3 linked regions of the Cricetulus griseus genome follow. The protein of the gene in region 3 interacts with the protein of the main gene of each other region in a pairwise test. Links are inferred from orthologs where the notes say so. Each region holds a gene or a part of one and is shown on either strand. Other genes may lie near its edges. The genes, in order: Htt, Smad7 and Pias4.

Evidence for each region.
Region 1: the proteins of Pias4 (region 3) and Htt interact in binary tests that used the Homo sapiens proteins (3 or more experiments, as listed by UniProt). The link is inferred for Cricetulus griseus from reciprocal best matches to the Homo sapiens genes PIAS4 and HTT.
Region 2: the proteins of Pias4 (region 3) and Smad7 interact in a two-hybrid assay, tested with the Homo sapiens proteins (2 studies listed by BioGRID and IntAct). The link is inferred for Cricetulus griseus from reciprocal best matches to the Homo sapiens genes PIAS4 and SMAD7.

Annotation. Positions count from the first base shown.
Region 1 is NW_023276807.1:103,746,707-103,750,457, reverse strand, and holds the start of Htt (huntingtin), read right to left. Parts: upstream 2,278-3,751; coding exon 2,036-2,277; intron 1-2,035.
Region 2 is NC_048595.1:164,538,843-164,541,640, forward strand, and holds the end of Smad7 (mothers against decapentaplegic homolog 7), read right to left. Parts: intron 2,573-2,798; coding exon 2,034-2,572; 3' UTR 520-2,033; downstream 1-519. UniProt on the Homo sapiens protein: Antagonist of signaling by TGF-beta (transforming growth factor) type 1 receptor superfamily members; has been shown to inhibit TGF-beta (Transforming growth factor) and activin signaling by associating with their receptors thus preventing SMAD2 access.
Region 3 is NC_048598.1:101,936,609-101,940,259, reverse strand, and holds part of Pias4 (E3 SUMO-protein ligase PIAS4), read left to right. Parts: intron 1-2,547; coding exon 2,548-2,632; intron 2,633-3,109; coding exon 3,110-3,151; intron 3,152-3,356; coding exon 3,357-3,576; intron 3,577-3,651.

The sequences.
Region 1 (3,751 bases), on a different chromosome or scaffold from region 3:
TTAGTTCTTGCTATACAGTGAACTAACAAGGTTTTAAAACTTTTAAAAGCTTTCGTTCCAAACTACTTTTGTCTATAAATAATTTAAAAATCTGTCCTAACATATGCCCAGATTTTATCTGAAAGGACACATAATGAGTAACAGTGCTTGCTACTGCGGACAGAGTTAGGCACTCAGGAGAATGGGGAGGGAGATGTTTTACTATTTAACCTTTCCTAACTTTGGAACTGGACCATGTTAATGAATTACTTATGCAAAAACAGATTGAATTTGTGCTTGAAGCAGCTGGAGAGAAATCACCCTACCCCACCCCGCCCCAACCCTCCCTTACAGAAGATATGAGGAATATGTGAACTTGCACAATTCCTAACACCCAGAGAGACAGAGTCGTGTTAAGAATCTAATAATTAGAAAATACTTATACAGCCAGGCATGGTGGCACATGCCTTTAATCCCAGCACTGAAGAGACAGGGGCAGGAGGATAGATATCTGTGAGTTCCAGGTCAGCCAGAGTTACACAGTGAGACTGTCTCAAAATATATTACTTATCTAAAGGGAAAGATTTTTCTACTCAAACCCTCTTTGACCTTATAGAAGAAAAATTTATTCCTATATTTTATTCTATCAAATAAGCCAACATTTTTCCCCAAATCTTCATTTAAAAAAAAACAACAACAAAAAACTAGATTCCCAGGGCAGCAAAAAGGATCCTATCAGAAGCACAAGAACAAGAAAAATTACTAAAAATAGGCTGGGAATATAGCTCAGTGGTAAAGCACTTGCCCAGCATGTGTGAGGCCTTAAGCTAAATTCCCAGCAACAAAACAATTTTTTTCCTAAATGAGGATTAATAATGGGATTCTTCAGTAGGTTGTTTCCTGAAAGTTCTCCTTATTAATTATAGAAATCCACATTAGAAATAAAATGTCCAGTTGAAAGGCCTGAACTGCAAGAAAGTACAGGGCTGAACACTCATCGTGGACTTCCAGGAAATGTCTTGATCATCATTTTCTTTTTTAAGACTATTGTTATTCATGGTCTCTCTTCTGTTTCAAATATTCTCACCAGTCACATGCAGCAAGCTTCTGAAGGATGACAAGATGTCAGCAAAGAATTAAATAGGAATTTTTTTCACTGGCACACAGAGTGGCCCATGTTCTAAAAACAAGTCTGACTGTAACACTGATAAAAATCATTCCCTGATGTAAACTGCGCATCACCAACATGTCCATTTTATTTCCAGCAGAAAATATAGGCAATAAATATCAATCGACATACATACATACACACACACACACACACACACACACACACACACACATATATATATATATGACACAGAGACATATAATTTTTATTAATAATCACACCTAAGTAACTCATCATGTACTTGACAACCACAGTTCATCCAATTACCTGCAGGCCAATAGGAGCATACAGAAACATACCTCTCCAGTGATGCTTAAAACCTTGTTACTACACTGTAACATGAACTAAACGAAACACCAGGAGAATATAAAGCGCCTGAAGTCACAGGCTGCTTCAAGTGTCACTTGGAAAAAGAATATCCAATTTGGATGGTTCACATTCCCCCACCCTCAGCACTCCCGCTGAGGCCTCCTAAAAGCATTATGTCATCCACTATCCGCACATCACTCGCGCTGTCCTGCGCTCCCAGCATCTAGGCCTACCTAAGGAGGCGACCCGGGAGACAGGTCTCGCCCTCTCCAAGTTCTCTTGGAGTCATGTGAGCCACAGCCCCAGTTTCTCCCGAAGACAGAAACAAGTTCGCTCCCTAACTTCACAAGCTAAGAAGGGCGAAAGCACTGGGGGCGAGACGCCCCTCGGCGAGTCCGCCGCAGGCCTGACCAGGCTCTGCCTCCAGTGAGGAAAGCTAAAGACCCCCACAAGGCGAGGACCCGGGCCAGGAAGAGGACTGGCGACCCTCTCTCTGGGCAGGGAATCGCGCTGGCTGTCTCCAGCACGCAGGCCAGGGGAGCGGCCCAGGGCAGGAGCTGCGGCGCCCGGACTCACGGTCGGTGCAGCGGCTCCTCGGCCGGACCGGGCAGCGGCGGTGGGGGCGGTGCAAGCGGTGGCGCCTGACCCTGAGGCGGCGGCTGAGGGGGCTGAGGCGGCGGCGGTGGTGGTGGTGGCGGCTGCTGCTGCTGCTGCTGTTGCTGTTGCTGCTGCTGCTGCTGCTGCTGCTGTTGCTGCTGCTGCTGCTGAAACGACTTGAGCGACTCGAAAGCCTTCATCAGCTTTTCCAGGGTTGCCATGACGGCCTCCTGCCCGGCGGGACAGACCCCGAAGGCTTGGAGCCTAGTCGCCCTCAGCGGCGCCACTTAGCAGCGGGGAAATGAATGGGGATCTGCGCGGCGGGCAGAAGCGGAACCAAAGCGCCCAGCCATCTTGGGCCCGTCCCGGCAACCCCCGCGGCGCCTGCGTCCTGTGACGTCATGCCGACGGAAGAGAGGCCACGCCGGATCCGCAGATTTGACAGGCCGAAGCGTCATTTTTCCCAATGCCTGGTTGTAAGCATGCCGGGCCTCTGCCAACTTGCTAAGAATCTCCGCCCCTACGATATGACCCCGCCCCTCTCCGGCAAACCAAGCCTCTGATTGGAGGGAGCGGGGAGAGAGCGTGATGAGGTAGGCGGGGCGGGTTGCTAGATGAGGGGCGGAGCTGAACCAAGAGTGGGTTTGAGGGGAGTGGCCGAGCACTAGATTAGGAGTTACAGGACAGAAAAAAGAGGCGGGCGGAGGAGTTGGCAACTCAGTAGGGTTTGGGGAGACATGGAAGACTAAGAGGTTGGAAAGGGGAAGGGCAGCAAAGAAATTTCCCTGCAGAAAGCCACCCATGGCGGTGGTGGTGCTCAGAACCCGAAACCCAGAGAGGCACTCATTGTCCGCAAGCTGACAGATGGCCTGCTATACAGTCCCGAATGCAGTATGCTAAGGGCTCCCTGAAATGAGAAGGGAACCAGAGTGACCTTTATGCAGGACCAAAGAACCCTTGTGATCCGTGGACCCCTGAAGCACTGGTTAGCTCAGACATGAAAGCCTATAAAAAAAAAAAAAAAAAAAAAAAAAAAAAAAAAGGCGGCACCAGACGATGTGCTGTGGAGGAAGCTGATAAAGGGTTCCAAACAAGTAGCAGTGCCTGCAGCCCAAAGAGAGGCTGGGGTTAGTGCAACTCTGATCGGACACTTCAACTTCACAGTGCTGGACCATGGCACTGCTCTGGTCATCAGCCAGAACCTACAAGGGGCCTCATCGCCACCAGAGCTGAGGTCCTTGTCTCCAGAATCTCCATCTCCCACTGGTGAGCAATTAAACAGGAAGCTTAGAATAGTATGGATACACCCAGCTCCTTCAGCCTGTCCAGCAAAAGGTGTTGGCTTCAGAGAGATCTGACTGGAGGTGATGCATTTAGTTAGGAACCCATTTAAGCTCTTCAGGCTACCCCTAAGACTCAAGAGCCCTATTCCATGGCCATGAGAAACTCCTCCATCTTCTCAAAATGGCCAAGTACACAGGAGCCAACACTACCCATGGGAGGTATAAGCAGCCAACCCCTGTTAAACTGAGGACAGCAGAGAAAGTCTTTAGAATTCCATGTCCCTCCAGTTACTAATGCCACTGTCCGCTGCATAAAGCCAGTGCCAGCTCCCACATGAGGCAAGTTCTAACAGCTGGTAGTTGCTAGTAGGCAGACATGGAAGGCCCAATGAGCCCTGCCTCTTAGCACTGT
Region 2 (2,798 bases), on a different chromosome or scaffold from region 3:
AGGGCTGAGAACCTATCAATCATGAAGATCCTAGCAGACAGCCTTAAGTGAAGCTTGGATTCAGTCATCACTTGAGAGGGAAGGAGGTGGGGACTTCATCCCTCTGATCACTGTGGGGCAGTTATTCTCTATCACTTCCTGGGGCTCCAATCCCCAGGAAATGTCTTGGAATTCATTTTGGCAAAGTCCCTTCTACTGAGAAAGATGCTCTAGCTCAGTGTAGAATTAGCATGAGCCAAGGGAACCTGGTTCTTGAGGATGTACCTGCTCTTCTGCCACCAACCCCATCTTCCCAGTGACACACCCTTTCTCCTCAACCCACCAACTTCCAAACACTCAGCAGAGGACTCCCTCCCGTCATTTCCCAATGCACCATGAGGAAACCTGCAGCCACACCAAACAAAAGGGTACCCATAAGGCAGGTGGTCTCCAGATCCCAGGCCCATTCGCCGTTGTCTCCACTGGTAAACTTCCCAGCCTCCCTCCAAGGAAAAGAAAAAGCAGCTAAACAACATGGGATGAAGTATACATTTTAAAAATTGTTTAATGGAACATAAACTCCTTTAGAAAAACATTCAGCCAGGTGATAACACCCATAGAAAAGAACACCAATCTTGTGTTTATCTTTTTTAATTTGGCATGTTATTTGCATTTATATTAAAGCAAAGTGCATCTTTTCTTTATTTTTGTTTATACACATTGCACAATACATAAATAATGATGCTTATAAAACGTCTTTATATTTACAAGTAATAATATATTTATATATAACATAAAATACATTTTTCTTTAATAAATCTCAGCTTTTTTTAAGGAGTCCTTTCTCTCTCAAAGCACTACAATGCTAAATTTCCAATGAGAAGGCTTCTCTTGTTCATTTAAACCTTTGTAGTTAGAAAAATAGCTTATGTTAAAGTCTAAACATGCTCATTGAGCTAAGAACAGTGTCAAAGTATCATACGAGTGTATGAGTTGAGAGAAGAGCTGGGAGTCAGCCTAGGATGGTACCTTCGCTATGACAGGCCACACCCTTCTTGTTGGGAAGGGGGCCACTGAGCAGTTCCCTCCCAGGGATGCCCCTCCCTGGTCTATAGAGCTCAACATACAGGCTGGGGATGGGGTGCTGAGCTGACTCTCCACATCTGGGAGAAACCTGATGAAAAACCACAGCAGGGGGACCGGCTGAAGGGCCCGAGGGTCCTGGGTTAGCAATACTGTGACTGGGCTGTCCCTGCAGCCCTTAGGAAGCCCATCTCAAGAAAGAGATCCAGGAGCAGATGGCCAAAAAAGACAGACATGACAATGGCAGCGGGGTGACAGGAGGCAGTAAGACAGGGATGAAAACAATTGGTTCTGGTTCAGCCTCTAGCAGGCTGGCTTCTCAGAAGCCTGTGGATAGGCCCGTGTCCTAAAAGGGGGGAGGCAGGGCAGGGGCTTCGGCAGGCTGGGGCAAAGTTTGGCAGCTGCTGGAACACCTGCTGCCAGTCTGCCCAGGTACTGCCTCTGCCCCACTGAGCATGTCCAAAGGGCTCGAGAGACAAACAGCTTGAAACTGCAGACTCTCAGCTGGGGACATTCATAAGGAACACAAAAAGCATCTCCCCATCTGCCGTTCATGCACAACCCTACACGACCGAACATCCACTCCTGACAATGCCGATCCGAAGGGAAGGCAGTACCCACTTTCATATACCATATTTGGCAGTGCTGACTTTTGCTTCCCATTTTCATGTCGGGGTGTCCTGTCGACCACACCCACCACCTCAAAAAAATAAAAAAATAAAAAAAACCAAAACAAACTAATTCATCACAAGCTATTTCTCAAAGAACAAGACAAAACACAAACAAGGACAACGAGAAGGAAAAACAAAAATAAAACAAAAACAAAAAACAACACCAACAATGGTAACAACGAAACCGACCAAAGAGTTTGCATGAAAAGCAAGCACTCGGGAGGGAAAGGTTAGCAGCAAGTAGTTTGAATGGTGGCCTGCTCGGCTCACGCTCCGTCCTGTCCTCTTCTCCCCACACAACTACCGGCTGTTGAAGATGACCTCCAGCCAGCACGGGCAGCTGCTGATGAACTGGCGGGTGTAGCACTGGCCCCAGCCCTTCACGAAGCTAATCTGCACGGTGAAGCCCGTCCATGGCTGCTGCATGAACTCATGGTCATTGGGCCGCTGCAGGCTGTATGCTTTCTCATAGTCGAAAGCCTTGATGGAGAAACCAGGGAACACCTTATGCACCAACAGCGTCCTGGAGTCCGGGTTGTCCAGTGTGGCGGACTTGATGAAGATGGGGTAACTGCTACGGTTGTACACCCACACGCCATCCACTTCCCTCGTCAGCTGGATGCCACAGCCAATCTTACTCCGTACTTTCTGTACCAGCTGACTCTTGTTGTCCGAATTGAGCTGTCCGAGGCAAAAGCCATTCCCCTGAGGTAGATCATAGAAGATATCCAGGGAGGGCTCTTGGACACAGTAGAGCCTCCCCACTCTCGTCTTCTCCTCCCAGTATGCCACCACGCACCAGTGTGACCGATCCCCAGGTTCCAGAAGAAGTTGGGAATCTACAAAACAAAATGGCAGACAGTTGGCGGTGGTGACCAGGTTCTTTTCCCTCCTGAAATCAAAAGACATACATATACACTTGCTCTTGAGTCCCCATAGCCAGCACAAAACAAAAAGAGGGAGTAAGGGTAAGCCAGGACTCCAGGTAGAGTCGATGATGCTAATGGGGGAAAGACATCTTAATTAACCTTTAAGCATGGGGCTTACTGCCATGCCCTCCTTCCC
Region 3 (3,651 bases):
GCCCTTGCAGAGGTCCCACTCCATGGCACTTGCTGACTGTGGGGAGACCTGTCTGGTTCTGTCTGCCCCAGGCCCTTACATGGGTCACACCTTGGTCTTCCACACTGTGCTTTTGACCCCACAGGCTTTTGGTCGCTGCCTCTGTCCTTAAGGGTGCACCTCTAATGCCCAGCCCTTATGGCATCTCTACGATAGCTCCCTTCCAAAACTGCATGATGTTTTTGTGTGTGCCATGTTTTGAGGCAGAGTCTCAGGTGGCCCAGGCAGGCCCAATTTGTTATGTAGCCAAGACTGGCCTTGAACCTCTCTGATCTACCTGTTTCGACCTCCTCAGTATTTGGCTGACAGGTCTGTGTCCCTGTACCTGGCATCACCCTTGCTCTCTGATACCCAGTTGAGGTCACTGATTTGGAGCAGGCCAGCAGCAAAGGTGGGCGGACAGCCCTTGCTCTATTCCTGCCCACTCCAGTGGCACAGGCTACATCCCCACCCAGTCCCACAGTGGAGCTCAGTGGTACCCTGTGCTTGGTGCTGGTCTCCATGCTGCCCCAACTCAGCAGCCTACATGGCTGGTCAGGGTGCTGCAGGGAACTGGAGTTTATGGCCACTGTGATATATGCAAGCTCACTGTGTTGTCCTATGACAGCTCCCCTGAAGCATGCTTGGCCCCCACCATTTGCCTTGGCCCTCCTAGTGCAACCAGCTAGGCCTGAGTTAAACAACAATCACTATAACCCTGGTGAAGCTGCCTGAGAATAAGACATTGACACAGTGTTTCTTTGGTGTTGAGGGGTACCAGGTTCTGGGTCGCCTTGTGTCTCTACTGGGTCACCAATGCCTACCTCCAGTCCTAGAGTGTACAAGGCTAAGAGGGGCCACGTGAAGGGTCTGGATGTTGTTGTCTTCCATGGCCTTGAGTGCCCTGTCCTGGTTCCTACCTGCCCTATTGGGTCTTCGTGATCACCTGGTGTCTGCCCCACCTCAGGTATGCTGAGGGTGGTGGCTGTGGGTTCCTCAGCACCTGTGCTTGTGCTGTTCAGTCCATGGTGTGGAGCTGTCCACAGCCCATGCTGCAGTGGCCCAGAGAAAGTGAAAGTGGTAGGCAGGGGGCGCAGGGCTGCTGTGTGTGTAGCCCAGGCTGGCCTTGAGCTCACAACCAGTTCTGCTGTTTTTGTTTTGGTTTGTTTTTTCCAGAGAGGGTTTCTCTGTGTAGTCCTGGCTTTCCTGGCACTCACTCTGTAGACCAGGCTGGCCTAGAATTCAACAGAGATCCTCCTGTCTCTGCCTCCCCAGTGCTGGGATTAAAGGTGTAGTTTTATCAGGTTCTCAGGAGGATCCAGGCCAGCTGAGTTATAAAGTGGGGAGAAATGGGTGGGCAGGGTACAGAGGCCCTAAGACAAAGGTAGGCCTGGTTTGTGAGGTTTTAAGAAGAGTTCAATCCCCAATTGGTGCTGCTGAAGAGACTACACTCAGTATTTCAGATGGGTATTGCTCTAGGGTCTGGCTGTTGGACAGGGGGCAGACAGCCATGGCACAGTTACTGGCTTGGAGAATACCCTGTGGTTCATTAGAGCAGCATAGCGTGGGACAAACCTAAGTTGGCTGCTAGAGTGTGGGGCCTGTCCCCCACACCACAGAAGCCTCCCAGGAGGGCAGATGGGTCCCTTACCTCCTGCCTAGCCTCTGCCAGCTCAGGTGTCTGCCATGGCACTGCTGGTCCCTCCCCACTCTCCCTCAGGTGGTTACTCCAGGCTAGACAGATCTGAGTGTGCCCAGGGGTCCCTGAGCTCCAGCTCCTCCCTCAGGCCCTGCAGCTACACAGCAGCAGTCACCCAAGGACCCATGGGCTCTCTACAGGATCCTGGGCTGGACAGGTGTGACTGTCCCCTCATCCAAGCTACTCCACCTCCCAGCTCCGGAACCTGCCTACACTCACTGTGACTGGTACCACAGCCTGTGGTTCAGAAGGTTCCAGGCCAGTCTCACCCAGCATCAGCGCCTCTTGTAAACAGTGTTGTAGGAACTGGGCTGCCAGGGTCCTTCCTCAGCTGGGAGTGCCTGTATCCAGATAGGGAATACCATCTGACAGGGACAGTGGTTGGTCCTGAAGTGCTGGGTAGAACTCAGCCCTACTCCCCACAGCTGTGCCCTTTTGCCTCAGACTGGTCTGGACCTGAGGCTGGGTTTGAATCCAAGACCCTTCTGCTTCAGTCTCTGACATGCTAGGGTGGCTGGTGTGCACTCCCTCAGAGGAGGCTGTGTCATATGTCCAAATGGGCTAGAGCCCTTTGCTGAGGGAGGAACGGGACCTCGTGCACACTGGGCCAGCAGTCTGCCGTGGAGCCATGCTGACTGACGAGACTGCAGATGACGTGATGGCCTGAGGATACAGGCAGCTACCTTTTAGCCTTTGGAACACCCAGCTCCAAAGGGACCCAGAGTGGAAGGTGTGGGGCCAGTGTGTATCCCCTGAATCCTAGGCAGAGGGCTGGCCTCTTGCCCTGTGACTGTGACATGCAGCAGGCGGCCTGACCCATGCGTGTTCAGTCCCACAGAGCACGGAGAAGCTACAGGAGAGCCCATGCATCTTCGCGCTGACACCGAGGCAGGTGGAAATGATCCGCAACTCCAGGTGTGTCCACCACGAACAACTCCCACTATCGTGTGCCCACCTTTGCTGGGACCACATATCATCTGGACCAGGCAGGACAGTGTGAGGCCCCACAGCCTCGTGAGCATGGCTTTCCCTCACCCACCCACTCCATGCTAGCCAGGAGCTCCCCAGCTACATGCACCTGCAGATGTCACCAGGGTCCCATGGGCAAGATGGGTAAGGGTGAACCAGTGAGGGTGCTTAGTGAAGCTCTGACCCTTTGGATGTCCTGGCCTTACAGTCCTGACCATCTCTGCGCCATTTGTCAGGACAGAGGTCAGGCTGGGGTGTGGCCAGACCCTCTCTCTGCACGCCTCCTTCCTACCCTTTCGATGGACAGATTCTTCCTGGAGTGGGTCAGGAGCACTGCTCTCCTGTGTCCATTGGTGATCCTGGGGAGGGCTCTCTGGGTGGTCTGCACTGCCTGCTGACTGCTGCCTTGTGCCCCGCCCACAGAGAGCTGCAGCCTGGAGTGAAAGCCGTGCAGGTGGTGCTGAGGTAGGCGAACAGCGCCCCGCCCTGCCTCTCCTGTGGCAGGCCATTGCTCTGCACACACAACCCCATGCCATCCACCCTGTACCTCCACCACCTGTCATCTTTGTTGGGGCTTTCTCTTTCTTCTGCTGCTTGTCTTCATAGCCCCCCCCCCATGTCCCCATGTCCCTGTGTGCCCCCACAGTCCTGTGTCTCACTGTCTCCCCAGGATCTGTTACTCTGACACCAGCTGCCCACAGGAGGATCAGTACCCACCCAACATTGCTGTGAAGGTTAACCACAGCTACTGCTCAGTGCCGGGCTACTACCCTTCCAACAAGCCTGGTGTGGAACCCAAGAGGCCCTGCAGACCCATCAACCTCACCCATCTCATGTACCTTTCCTCCGCCACCAACCGCATCACTGTCACCTGGGGCAACTATGGCAAGGTAAGCACCCTGCGCCCAGCCCCCATCATTCCACATGTCCCTCCCCCCTGGCCACCCTGCACCTAGTACCCACCA